2 linked regions of the Ovis aries genome follow. The protein of the gene in region 1 interacts with the protein of each later gene in a pairwise test. Links are inferred from orthologs where the notes say so. Each region holds a gene or a part of one and is shown in the gene's direction. Other genes may lie near its edges.

The links.
Region 2: the proteins of YAE1 (region 1) and LTO1 interact in binary tests that used the Homo sapiens proteins (3 or more experiments, as listed by UniProt). The link is inferred for Ovis aries from reciprocal best matches to the Homo sapiens genes YAE1 and LTO1.

What each region holds. Positions count from the first base shown.
Region 1 is NC_056057.1:82,947,161-82,954,340, reverse strand, and holds the start of YAE1 (protein YAE1 homolog), read left to right. Parts: upstream 1-2,850; 5' UTR 2,851-2,871; coding exon 2,872-3,075; intron 3,076-4,421; coding exon 4,422-4,543; intron 4,544-6,403; coding exon 6,404-6,833; 3' UTR 6,834-7,180. UniProt on the Homo sapiens protein: The complex LTO1:YAE1 functions as a target specific adapter that probably recruits apo-ABCE1 to the cytosolic iron-sulfur protein assembly (CIA) complex machinery. May be required for biogenesis of the large ribosomal subunit and initiation of translation.
Region 2 is NC_056074.1:43,306,184-43,313,187, reverse strand, and holds the start of LTO1 (protein LTO1 homolog), read left to right. Parts: upstream 1-2,990; 5' UTR 2,991-3,109; coding exon 3,110-3,159; intron 3,160-3,504; exon of another isoform or gene 3,505-3,709; intron 3,710-3,950; exon of another isoform or gene 3,951-4,244; intron 4,245-4,613; coding exon 4,614-4,719; intron 4,720-5,787; coding exon 5,788-5,858; intron 5,859-7,004. UniProt on the Homo sapiens protein: The complex LTO1:YAE1 functions as a target specific adapter that probably recruits apo-ABCE1 to the cytosolic iron-sulfur protein assembly (CIA) complex machinery. May be required for biogenesis of the large ribosomal subunit and initiation of translation.

The sequences.
Region 1 (7,180 bases):
TTTTTAATTTTAAGTGTGTGTGTGTGTGTTTGTGCTCAGTCATGTCCGACTCTTTTCAGCCCCATGGACTGTAGCCCACCAGGCTCCTCTGTCCATGGAATTTTCCAGACAAGAATACTGGGGTAGGTTGCCATTTCCTACTCCAGGGGATCTTCCCAACCCAGGGACTGAACCAGTGTCTCTTGAGTCTCCTGCATTGGCAGGACAATTTTTTAGCACTGAGCCACCTGGGAAGCCCAACTGACTTTTCTGCTTTTATTAGTACAATACATGGTTTCTCTTCTAAACTGTTGATGCAGTGAAATATAGGTTTCCTAATATTGCAACATTTTGCTTTTATGAAATAAAACCTCTTGAATTATTATTTTGATAAGATACTGGATTCTCTTTTAAATACATATTCACAAGCTAACTTGAACTTTGGGAGTTCTTTCATATTAATTTTAGCAGATGAGAGTAAAGCTGGTTTCATGAAATGATTTAGGGAGTTTCTTTTTCTGTGCCCTACAAGAGTAAAAAAATGATATTTATTTATCCATCATTCTTTAAAGATTAAAAAGGATTTAAAGCATTTAACTGTAAAATTCTCATCTCTATGCTATTTTTATAGTGGATAATCTCCAATTTTTCTATGGTAATTAGTTTCTTCACGTTTTCTACTTGCTTGATAAATTTTATTAGGAAGTCATCATATCACCTGTTTTCAAATGTGTCAAAGTTTTAGTCAGTAATTTATAATATTTGATTTTTTTCCTGTATCATTACCTTCCTTCTCATTTTTATGTTGTATATATATTTTTTTTAATTCAGGGTCAAACAACCAGCTTTTGGAATTACTTATGCAAGTTTGGGTGTTTGTATTTTATTAATTTCAATTGTTTTATTTACTGCTTCCCTTACTATCAGTTTGTTTCTAACTAAGATACATGGTAATTCTGTCTTGTTTCTCTTTCTTCTTTAATAATAAAAACATTAAAGCCTCCAGAATTGCCTAATAAGACAGCTTTCATTTGTTTTCAAGTTTTTTTGGTACGAATTATTCTGATTTTTATTGCTTATTATATTGTTTTAATTTTTATTTACTTTTTGATTCAAATGTTATTTAGGAAGATGCTTATGTCCAATATTATATTTAAATTATAATTTAAATTATTGGAGTAACTTATTTATTATCAATTATATTGGATGATTAGTTTATTAAGGTTTTTTGTTACAAAGTGTCACAATGTTTTTATATATTCCATGGACCTACCAAGTATTGCATATATTTTTCATATATTGAATATATACAAAAAATTTTCTCTGAACACTTAAAATGGTAACATATACTACCTAACTGCCCTCACTCACACACATACCCATAGCTCTCTTTACTTTGCTTGTTTCTAAATATTTTTCCATAGCATGTATCATAATCTTGTAACAAACGGTATAATTTACTTATATAGTGTTTATTACTTATCCTCTGGCAATTCCTCATGAATGTCAGAGCTGGGACTTCTGTGTGTTGTTCACTGATGTATCTCAAAAGCATATAACAGTGCCTGGCACAAGGCAAATATTCAAGAAAATTTGTTAGCTAAGTAAATCATCATTACCACATGGGCTTCCCTGGTGGCTCAAACTGTAAAGAATCCGCCTGCAACGCAGGAGACCCTGGGTAGGGGAGATCCCTTGGAAGAGGGAATGGCTACCCATTCCAGAATTCTTCCCTGGAGAATTCAATGCACAAAGGAGCCTGTAGAGCTACAGTCTGTGGGCTTGCAGAGTCACACAGGACTGAGCTATGAACACACACTACCACATGAGTACGCAAAGGGCCAAACAGGAATACTGATGGTATCTACTCATTCATTAACTTTTGTTTCAACACCTACTACAATTCGGAACAGTGCCGGTGCTGAATTTTTTTTTTTTAATTTTTTAATTTTTTTATTTTTTTACTTTTAAAATCTTTAATTCTTACATGCGTTCCCAAACATGAACCCCCCTCCCACCTCCCTCCCCATAACATCTCTGTGGGTCTTATATAAAGACAAGTCTCCATCCTCACCAGTGGTCTTTTCTGGCATTTCAGAAGGAACAGGAGTCAGACAAGGATGCTGTGAATCAATGAGAAATATATTTCGTTTCATAAACGCTCTCTATATTTACTGATCTCAATAGGGCTGCAATATTTTAACTTCTTTAATGTCCTTTGTTCCACGCTCCTAACAATTGAAACAGTCGGGCAGTCCAAACCTTTAAATGCACTGAAAGAAAGAAAGCTCAGTCGTGTCCGACTCTTTGCAATCCATGGACTGTAGCCTACCAGGCTCCTCTGTCCATGGGATTTTCCAGGCAAGAGTACTGGAGTGGGTTGCTATTTCCTTCTCCAGGGATCCTCCTGACCCAGGGATTGAACCTCGGTCTCCCGCATTGTAAGGCGGATGATTTACCATCTGAGCCACTAGGGAATGACGGAGTGCCTCAAAAGAACTACCTCAAAGGGTTTTGCCAATGCACGCGTCTTCAAAACCCAGACCCCAGCAGACACCACGGTAGAAGAGCACAGTGTTTCACTGAATGCTGGCGCTGCCTTCCGCAATCAAGGTCAGAGGGGCTCCGCCTGGCCCACAAGTGCACGGCGACATTTCCAGCTTAGTTATGGGTACTTCCAAATATCAGGGAGCAAAAGCCTCGAGGGGAAACCAGGACCTTCCTGGGACCGGTGACCACTCCGTGAACCGGTCACAGCGTTCAGACACCACGCACATCTACGCGCACGCGCAGCGGTGCCGCGAGCTCCGCAGTCTGTCTTCGCTCCGCCCCTCGGACCGGAAGGAGTTGCCGGCCCTTCCGGCGTCCGGCAGCCCGGTGGTTGCCTCAGTGATGTCGTGGGTTCAAGCTGCTTCTTTGGTCCAAGGTCCTGAAGAGGAGGGGGACGTGTTTGACGAGGAAGCTGATGAGTCGCTCCTGGTGCAGCGGGAATGGCAGAGCCATATGCAGAGACGAGTCAAAGTAAAGCTGCGTGGAGAGGGCGGGGGTCCGTTGCTGTACCGGGTTGTTAGCGCTGGAGCTGGGAGTTGTGAGAAGGTGGGGTCCCAGGATGAAGGCCGGAGTGGTCGCGACCTGGCCTGGCGCTGCCCTCCCTCTCCCGTACCATTCAGTCTGGCCCATGTCCTGCTAGAGTTTCCCAGTGGGTTACTTGAAACCGTGCTACACCACAGGATGCTTTCCTCGAGCGCCCGTGGAGTGTGTTGGATGGACACCGGGGACCGAAAAATATAACCTTTGTCAAAGACTTTGAAGAGATTTCAGTTTGATGGGCATCAGAGGAAAAGGGGTGGAGGAGAAACATTTACACTGTTCTAATTATGTCTGTCAAAGGACATGTAGGCAGTTGACATGGGTTGCTTGAATGAGTGGGGAGCCTAAAGTTAGGAGTAGTGTTAATCAGGACAGATGGAAAAAGTGAACTTAAGAATGCTGTCAGAGGGCAGTAAGAGAAAGCTAATAAGGAATGGAGTCACAGAGTCAGACAAGGCTGAGCGACTGAACAAAATAAAGGAATGGTGGTGGCTACCTAAGGGAGTATTAATGTATTTTTTTAATTTGTTGGGTGTGAATTATCCATATCTAATTTGTCTGACTCTTCACTGAGTCTCAGCTTAATACCGCACACCATTTCCAGGTGGAGCTTTCAGAGCTTAGTTCAGGGTGAGGACCAAATGATGAGATCTGTGCCTGCTAGTGTCCTTGCCAACCATTAAATTGCCATTAAGTCTGCCCTTGTTTAATGTCTCAGTAAAATAATATTTGCTTAGCACAACAACAATGTTGTCAACTTCAGAAATGCCTTATGTGAAGCTGGGGCTAAACCAGTAAATATTGAGCACCTTTTGAGTGTTGTGGCAGGACAAAATCCTTGGGCACAGAGGATTTTCAGTTTACTTAAATTAAGGAAAATTTCTAAATCAAGCAGAATTTCTAAAACCAGCCCTCTCATCTTCCTTTTACTATACCAATTTCCTCTTTCCCTACTCCAGTTCCAAGACCTTGGTAACCCTGCCCTGCCTTATCCACTCACACCAATCCAGTTTCTAAAGGACCAGACACCTAATTCTCCATGTTTCCTTTCTGTGGAGCTATTGCTAACACGGATTTTTTTTTTTTTTGTATATATGTAGAATCAATATTTTAAAATGTGTCCAATAAATCTAGACTACAAAAATGGGATAAGCCAACAATAAACTTTTATGAGAAGCATAGTCTACTTTGGTTGTGTGATTATGCCATATGTTATAGAACCATGATGTTAAATAACACAATAGAGGCCTGTTTCATCAGTTTCTAAATTGGTTCTGTGACTTTCTAGAAAAATCTACACTGGTTTACTTGGTGTTAAGTTACAACTGTAATTCTTCATTACTTATATTTAGGAAGGCTACAGAGATGGAATAGATGCTGGCAAAGCAGTTACTCTTCAACAAGGCTTCAATCAAGGTTATAAGGAAGGTGCAGAAGTCATCATAAACTATGGACAACTTAGAGGAACATTGAGGTAATTTTTAAAACTTAAATGCTGAATTATTTTAACCTTTGTACTAGTGGAGGGTTTTGATGAAAGTAATATGTAAGAAAGTGTAAGCTGAACTGCTTCCCCTAGTGTTAAAGCCATGAAAGGGTACTGCAGAGCATAGACTAAAATTGCCTTCAAAAAGTCAGCAGTTATCCACTTTAATATGTGAGCCAGATGTTATCTTTTATTGCAAAGAAATGATACAAAGGTGTCTTCTTTTTTGCTACCTGAACTACCACCAATCTGTATCTCAAAGTAATTGAAAAAATCTTCAGGTTTTGGGTAACGTTTTTATTCTTGCACATGTGGCAGAACACAATAAAACAGATGTCTAGACTAGCGATACCTGATGAAGAGTATAGCTAGTAACAGAAAAAGTATTCCATTTACTTTGTTTCTGAACGTTGAACACCTGTCAGGATGTCATAGGAATAATGGCATGTATTAGAACCAAGTGGTCCAAAGGCACATGGAGCTACGAGCATGGCATGCTTGTCCTCTTTGATGCTTTGTACCTTTTAACCTGTCCTCTATAGAGAAAAACATAAATGCTTCAAAGAATCACTGATTTTTACAAGGTATGCAATAAAAGTTAACAGGACAGAGACTTCCCTGGCAGTCTAGTAGTTAAGACTCTGCACTTTCAATGCAGGGGATGCAAGTTTGATCTCTTATCAGGAGATGAAGATCCCACATGCCATAAGATGGCACAGCCAAGAAAAAAATAAAAATTAAAAATAAAATTAGAAAAAAGTTATCAATACAAAAGTTCATTACATTTGAGGTTTTATAAAATTCAGCTGTCAGGAATCAGCATTTATAGTATACTATAGTAAGAAAATGATCATGTGTTCATCTTCACATCAAGTTAAATTAATTTTTTATAAGCTTAGAAAACTTATTGCAGGGTATCTGCTGGCAATGCAGTGGATTTGGACTTCATGTTTTTATTTTCGAGGCCTGCGTTCAGTCCCTGGTCTGGGAACTAAGTTACCACAAGCTGTGTGACATGGCAAAAAAAAAAAACCTTATTGCTAACATTATTACTTTTCACAATAACCATTATTTCGTGAGATGAATAATATGAATGTAGGAAAGTAAAAGTACTATCTATACTAAAAAAAAGTAAAGAAAAATAATTATTAAGACTGGAAGAATTCTAACCTCCTTCAATAAAATTGTTAGTAAAGTATCTAACAAAGTTGGAAAAGTGAGTTGTCTCAAAACTTTTTTTCCCCTCACCTTCAGTTTTGATGTCAAGCAGCTATACGGTTATAACAGTGATTTTTAACCTTGGTTACACCTTGTTATCAGCTGGGAAGCTTTTAAAAAAATAACACCCCCAGAGATTCTGATTTAATTGGTCTCAGGTGTGACCTGGACCTTGATAAGGTTTAAAAGTTTTGCAGGTAATTCTGATGTGCATCCAAGATTGAGAAACACTAGTTTAGAAGCTGGTTTCTGCCTTTAAAAGAAAAACTATTTTTTCAGGTCTTTTCTTTCTCTTGAGTTGTATCCATCTTCAACAGAAGCTACACAATCATAAGGGGAAAATAAAATCAGGGAAAATCGATGAGGACCTGTGAAGGAGGGGTTATGAATTATAAACAGTTTATATGATTAACTCCAGTTGTTTAATTTCTGTTGAAAGATAATGTCCTTATATTTATAATCTTATTTTACCATCATTACTTTCCTGATTTTGACTCACATTGCTATTATTAATAATTTTTGCATGATTTTATCTAGAAGAGAAACATGAAAGCCTTAGCTTCAAAAATTCTAAAAGCCTTTGATTGTTTAATTTTTTCCTCTTTAACTCTTATTTATATTTTCGTTCAGTGCTTTGCTCTCCTGGTGTCACCTTCATGATGATAGTTCGGCTTTGGTCAGTAAAATAAATAATCTTCTGGATGCAGTTGGCCAGTGTGAAGAGTATGTGCTCAGACATCTGAGATCAGTCACTTCACAGCCACATGTTGTAGACTTATTGGACTCCCTTCAGGATATGGACCTTTCTCATGTAGCTCCAGCTGAGGAAAAGATTGATGAAGCTAAAGATGAAAGATTCTGTGAAAATAATGCTGAGTTTAACAAAAACTGTAGTAAGAATCTTAGTCAGGTAGATTGTTCATCTTTAGAATGTTGTAGAGCCCAGGAGCATGAACGCCCTGAAAACCCAAGCCTCACTTGGATTTTAGAACAGACAGCCAGTTTGGTAAAACAGCTGGGAGTATCAATAGACATATTACAACACCTCAAGCAACTATAAAAATTACCTTCACTTTAATAATGGAAGCGATGTTCAGAACATTTTTAGAACATTTTGTTTCTGAACAAGCTAACCAAAATTTGCACTGGTTTCTACACTTCACTTGTAAGGGTATCCCTTCATGTAATGTTGAAACATCTTCAAAATTAATACTATTAAAGGTAATATAATCCTTCTTTCTTTGTCACTGGCAATTTTTATGTGGTTTAAGATATGCTCAAAAATTCCAGTTGTCTTCATTTTCAAATTTCTGGGGACTCATTACCAAAAGAAATTAACAAGAATCAGACTACAGTTGACCCTTGAACAACACAGGTTTTAAAAGTACCCACCCACCATGCAGTAAA
Region 2 (7,004 bases), on another chromosome or scaffold:
TGGAGTCACAAAGAATCAGACAGGGCTGAGTGACTGAGTACATGAGAGATACTGAAGAACCTAAGCTACTCCATTTTGTGAAAGAAGACTCCATTTTGTAAAAATTCCCGGAAAAGAGCTTTTTGGAAATTCCTTAACCTCACCTCACCACCCTGGGACCAATCAGAACCCTTGGCCAGCCCGGGGAAACGGGAACCAATCAGAACCCAACACCCAACCCTTCCACAGAAGGTAACCAGTTAGGCGTCTCCCAACCCTAAAACTCCCGGTTTTCAAATTTTTCGCGCGAGAATACCTTGTATAAACAATGAAACCCAGAGCTCAGGGCTCGTCCCTATAGCTGCTGCGTTGGTATCAGTGGGAGCCCCAGCTCGAGCTTGGTAATAAAAACTCTCTTGCTTTTGCATCGGATATCGGCTCCCTGGTGGTCTTTGGGAGATTTTACGACTTGGGCATAACAATACATGGAACTTGACTTTTCCCAGACAACAAGTTTTCCCATTTTAGTGATTGATGAATATCCCTTTCCCCCATTAATTCATGGTGCTTTTTATCCTGTGGGAAGGTTTTACATTTCCCGAGTCCCCTTCCAGGCCATTCCATCCCTATTTCATCCGTCTGGCTATTTCTGAACAAACATGCTACAGTATTATTCTGGATACTCTTGTTCAGTCACTGAGTTGTGCCTGGCTCTTTGCAACCCTATGGACTGTAGCCCTCCAGGCCCCTCTGTCCATGGGACTGATTTCCCAGGCAAGAATACTGGAGTGAGTTGCCATTTCCTTCTCCAGGGGATCTTCCTGACTCAGGGACAGAACCCACGTCTCCTGCATTGGCAGATGGGTTCTTTACCACCGAGCCACACGGGAAGCCATATTTTTATGGAGACTTTCTTTTTACACATCTGGTATAGCAAGTCCTCTATATCATTGTCTCTTTCAAAAGCATCTTAGTTATTCTTACCAACTTATTCATCCTGATGAAATTTATTTATTATTTTAATTTTCTATTGCTTTGGCTGCACTGGGTCTTTATTGTGGCTCAAGGGTTTAGTTGCTCCATAGCATATGGGATTTTGCTTCCCTGACCATGGATGGAACCTGTATCCTCTGCACTGGAAGGTGGATTCTTAACTGCTGGATCACCAGAGGAGTTCCCAGATAGAATTTAGAGTTTGACACATTTCCCCCAGATCCTGTGGAAACTGGGGTTGCATGTCTTCCTGTCTTGGGCGGGGCGGTAGTTATTCTTGTATAGGTTCTGCTCAACCTTATTTCTAAGAAACTATTGTGACCATGGTGAAGTGGATTTCCCTGAGTATCCCTGCTCAGACCACTACTAATCATTGTTCGAATAACGAAAAGCAAGTGATTTTTTTGGCGATTCAACTGCATAGGTACTTACTGAACTGTATTACAAATTCTGAGAGGGTCTTAAGTGCTTATTTTGGAATTTTTAGATGGACCACCGCACCTACATATAATGGCACTTTGTTTTCTTTTTTCCCCAAAGATAGTTAAGACTTCTTGCTCAATTTTATTGCATTGATTAGGTCTACTGGATGTGTTCAAAGCATTCTCGCTTTACTCCTGATTTTAACAGGAAAACTTTTGGTAATTCATATCTATGTTCCACTGTGGCTGACAGTTTGACATACCTTTTAAAAATCGTGTCCAGGAAGTACCTGCCATGGAAATGACAAATGGGAGGACTAACACTAGAAGCTTTTTTTTTTTTTTTTAAGGGGGGATGCCTTCAGCTGGACAGAGGGCTCTGGGGGTTGTTAATTACAAATCCTTTTGTGCTGATTCTTGACTCTCTGCCTGAATTATGAATAGGTCTACTTTTACTTGTGGCTCAGCTGGTAAAGAATCCACCTGCAAAGTGGGAGATGGGGGTTCGATCCCTGAGTTGATCGTCTCCAGTATTCTGGCCTGAAGAACGCCATGGTCTGTGTCGTCAGTGGGGTTGCACAGAGTCGGACGTGACTGAGCCACTTTCACTCACTACTTTTACTGGGGCTTCCCTCCTGGCTCAGATGGTCAAGAACCTGCCGGCAATGCAGGAGATCTGGGTTCGGTCCCTAGATTGGGAAGATTCCCCTGGAGAAGGGAATACCAACCCACTCCAATATGCTTGCCCTGGAGAATCCCATGGACAGAGGAGCCTGGCAGTCTATGGTCCATGGGGTGGCAAAGAATCAAACACGACTGAGCGACCAACACTTCCCCTTTCTGCTTTTGCTTTAAAAACAACCGCAAGAATAAAAACACAAACACTTTTATTGACAGTTTTCAAAGAACTCTAAAGTTTTAAGAACGGATGCCAACAGTTACTCATTGAGTGTTAAGAGGACCTCGGCTGTTCCTGTCACCCACTGCTGTTTCAGATTCCCGGGGCGTCGGGTCAGCCCTGCGTTGTTTCTCGAACAAAAGCCCAAATGCCCTGGAATACTGTTATCGCGGATTCAGTGGCCTTTTAGGTGGGGCGTCTCAAGTCTGACTTGGTCCTGGAAGGTGGCCCCTGGCTGTGGGTCGGGGTCGGCGGGGGACCCGGCCACTCTTGTCTGGGTACTGTCCCCACTCCGCGAATTGCGTTTCCTGGGACATTTTTCCCCCAAACCCCAAGGGCCCAGAGCTCCGGGAGGCGTTTGGTTCTTTGATAAATTTTCCAAGTTTCTTTCCCTGGTCCTTTCTGAGCCGCTGTTGGCAGTTCGGTGGCCTCTGCCTGGTTTTGGGAAAGTGAGATCATGGGTCAGCCCCGCGTGGCCAAGTGGATGCTCCAGGTGGGGACCGACCAACAGGCTGGCGGCCCGAGCCGGGGGGCGGGGCAAGGGGCCTCGGGGAGGGGCCGCGTCCCGGCCTAGCCCCGCCCAGCGCCGCCGCCGCCGCGCAAGCGCCCTGGGCCTGCCCCGGCGAGTGCTGAGCGCCCCGGCGAGTGCTGAGCCCTCCGGCGTGCCGTCGTTACCCGGCCTGCCCCGCGCGGTCGCCGCCGGAAGTGAACTTGGCGTCGCGAGTGGCCGGGGTTTCCGTGAGTTGTGGCCTCGCGTGTCCGCGGCTCCATCGCGGGGCGGCGGAGCCCGACGGGCGGAGGCTGGTCGGTGGCCGCCATGGCCGGGGATCAGGACATGTTCGACGCTGTCGTGATGGCAGATGAGAGGTGGGTGGGTCGGGGCCCCCAGCCCTCGCGTGTCGGCTCTCAGCCTTGGGCTGCGGCCCTGGGGGAGCGCACTGGGGCCCTGGGGGCATCCGGCGCGGGAGGGCCCAGGATGCTGTTACTTCCCCTTCTCGGGCGAGCGCCAGGCGCCCAGCTGCTCCTCAGGACCCGCCTCCCTCCTCTGGGGCTGCCCCCATGCATCTGCTCGGCCTGGTGACTGCCTCCCTCCAGGGACGCCCCGTCCTCGGGTGGCGCGGACCTCTGCCATCTGGGCGCTGCCCACCTCTTTCTCGTTCCTCAGTAATAGGACAGACGGCCGCATTCACGGACAGGCTCATCAAGGTGTCAGGCGTCATCCTTTTCCCTCCTGAGCCCCTGGGCAGCGCCTAGGGGCTGTGGCAAGGCAGGGGTGGCGGCGGGTGGGGGTGGTGAAGCTCTTGGCTGCTTTGATGGCTTTCTTCCAGTGCCCAGCCCGCTTGAGACATCGATAGACGTCCCTGAGAAAGAGGGAGCAGGAAGCGATCAGTCGCTGACAGTTCATTTGGAACTTGCTGTGAGCTGCAGGCTGAACTAAGCCTTGTACCCCCGTTATCTGTTTTATCCCAACTTGTGGACTAGATCCCGTCTTTGAGATGGGGAGGCAAGGTCGCTCCGGGGGCGGGAGCCAGTATAAGTGGGAATGACGCAGTTGGTCTCGCCGGGTGCTCCAGCCAGCCCCTTTCACTTCGGTGGCCCGTGGGTTGTGACAGTTCCGCTGCCGGCCCCTGTAAGTCAGAGCCTTTATTCTACCACAGGCCCTGCCGTCATGGTACACTTTGCAGCCAGTGTTGTTGCCTGGAGAATCCCAGGGACGGGGGAGCCTGGTGGGCTGCCGTCTGTGGGGTCACACAGAGTCGGACACGACTGAAGCGACTTAGCAGCAGCAGCAGCAGATGGCGCTTCTCCTTGCCTGGCTCCTGAGGTGTAATGGAAAAGCCTGGTGCAGACGGCAGAGTTTCGTTTGTCTGTTTTGAAGCTCTTGCCCAAACAGTCTAGCTTACAGACTCACAGAACTGGGGCTGCTGACTAAGTCACTGGGGAAATTTCAAAAAGCGGATTCCTGAACTTTAGTGAGATAAGGGCAAGGCTCCTGAATTTGTATCTTTGGGATTTTCCTGTGTGTTTCCAGTATTCTCCCCGGTTTGGGAATCCCTGATTTAGCCCAGCTTTCTCATTGTAGAAGCGCTGAGTTTGGCTTCAAGAAGTACAGCGACTTGCCACAGCAGAGGCTCGGGGAGGGGTGGAGCTGACGTTGGACCTAAGTTTTATGGTTTAGGTTCTCTTATTTTTCTTTAATGCTGCTAGGTCTCGTCTTGCAGTCTGGGTCTAGGTCTGGGTCACGTGGAGGAATGAGTTTTTCCAGGAAGAATCGTCTTTCTCCTGTTTATTCACTCAGACTTGCTGCTTCTCCGTTGCAGGTTTCACGGGGAAGGGTACCGGGAAGGCTATGAAGAAGGAAGCAGTTTGGGTATGATCGAAGGGAGACGGCACGGCACGCTCCATGGAGCTAAAGTCGGATCTGAAGTGAGTGGGGACCTCCCCCTGCCCCACCACCACCTAGAAAGGAGTCCTGTTCTTTTACTGTTGACAGTTTACCTTGACGGTCAGTATGATCAAGCCACAATTTCAGGCCTCTTAAAGTGGCAGTAGGCTAGATAGACTGTGGATGGAGGCGTATTCCTAGGGCAGAGCCTGCAGAGCCTATGGCTGTGTGGCGATGACGCAGGTGGATGGGCTGGAGGAAAAACAAGCCCCTCGTCACCTCAGTGGATGTCGAGTGTCGTGGTGCCGAGTCCTCTTGCAGAGAGTGAGCACCCCGGTGTCGTGTGAGAGCGTGCCGTGGATATTTACACAGGAATCCCGTAAACTCCCCGGTTTTCCTTTTCTCCTGCCTTTTGTCCTGGATGGGCCCTCACTTACAGGTGATTGGCTGTAAACAGCGAAGTCTGAGACCACTGGAACTGTATTAGGCATCTGTGGCTTCAAAACGAAATCAGTACAAGGCACGTGGCCTTAAAGACAACCAGTGTTACTTATCTCGCAGAGGTCCTGGGGGTCCGTGGTCCAGGAGCAGTTGAGCCGGGTGGTTCTGGCTCAGGGCCTCTTGATGCTGGAGTTAAAAGTCAGCCACTCGAAGGCTTGCCTGGGGCCAGAAGAGGTACTTCTCAGATGGCTTGCTCCCTCCGCATCTTCTGCATGTGGACTTCTCCTTAGAGCCGCCCAAGCGTCCTCCTAACCCTGTGTGGGTGGCCTGGGTGGGCAGGGCAGAGGTGACATTGCCCGTTAACACCTAAATCCGGAGGTCACGTGCCACCTCTTCTGTGTTCTGCTCATCACGGCCACCCGATACAGCTGGGAGACCCCACAGGCACAAGTACCAGTGGAGTGGGAGGCGGGGCCAGTGGGCCGCCTTGGAGGCCAGCTGTCCCGCTGATAACTCGACCTCCGACCTCCATTTCCTGCTCCAGCACAAGAAGACACGCCCTGCGCCCCCTCCCGTCCTCCCCCACTTTAGTTTTGAGAGCTTGATAATTAGATCAAATACAGCGCTCGGTTATTCATTGTGCTCTTAAATGTCTTGTCAATTCACAGATTGGGTGCTACCAAGGCTTCGCGTTTGCTTGGAGAGGTCTCCTGCACAGTTGCGCCACTGAGAGAGACAGGTAAGGCGGAACCTCCTTTCTTCTTTGGCGTCTGGACCAGAGTTGCGGTTCCGTGGTGCACCCTGATCGCGGGGGGTTAGAGTCTCAGTCTCCTCATCTGTAAACCGGAGAAAACAGTCGGGCTGAAATAAGCTTGTGCAGTTGTTACAAGGTTTACAGGAAATAGTGCCTAGCAGGTACGGGCCCGTTTGGGGTGTTGGATGAACACCTACTGTTTTCTCAAGGGTCCTCTGATCTCCCCCGCCTTTTCCCTGGAGGCCTTCAAGCACTCCCTGCCAGTGAAGGCAGGTTGAAAACGATTTTATCTTCTCGTTTCCCCTGAGCTTCTGATAAACAGAGCACAGTAGTCTGGGTGTGATCCAGGTTCAGAAATGGTGACCCCACTGTCACTGGGACTTTTTACGTAGCCAGGAGGTCTAACAAGGTGATCGGGCCCGTGTGTTTTGCCCGTGTCAGGAAGCGCTAAGGAGCCGTTAGCTGTCCTCTGTAGCGTGTAGCCTTCTGAACCTGTCAGAAGTTACAGGTGCCACTTCCTGAAGCCCCAGGACCCTGTCCCCACCTGCGGTCTTCACTCTTCACCCGTCCGTGAAAGGCTGTGCTGCCGCTCAGGGGATCCTACGCGGGGCTTCAGCGGCTGCCCCATGTCCTTCGGATGCCCGGTGGCTTTGCCTGGCCAGGGAGGGGCTCCAGGAATGTGAGTGACAGAGCGCAGAAGCCGCATTCCCCCGTCCACGTGACTTGTCATCTTATTTGGAATGTTTTGAATTTCTAGAATTTGTGCCACCGCCATATTCATGTGTCAGAGCAGGGATGCTCGAGACAGGGTCTGGGTGATTCTGGGGTCGCTGCTTTCTGACCTGTCCCATCACTGATCAAGTGGGATCTGACCAGACTCGTCCACCGCGCAGGGCCACCTTGAGGAGGTTTTCCTCTAAAGACCCAGCGGGCGGCGGCGTGGCCGGTGATCTGGCTGGGACGGTGGGTGGCAGCGCGTGGCAGCACTGGGTGCCGGTCAGGGCTACAGGTGCCTCTGCACTTCTGGCCCGTGAAGGTGGGGGTGGCGCGCCTGGTCTTGGAATTCTCCAGCAGCCTCCCCTTGTCCCTTTGCTGGCGTCTGCAGCGCATGGAGGGTGTGAAGGCTCCTGT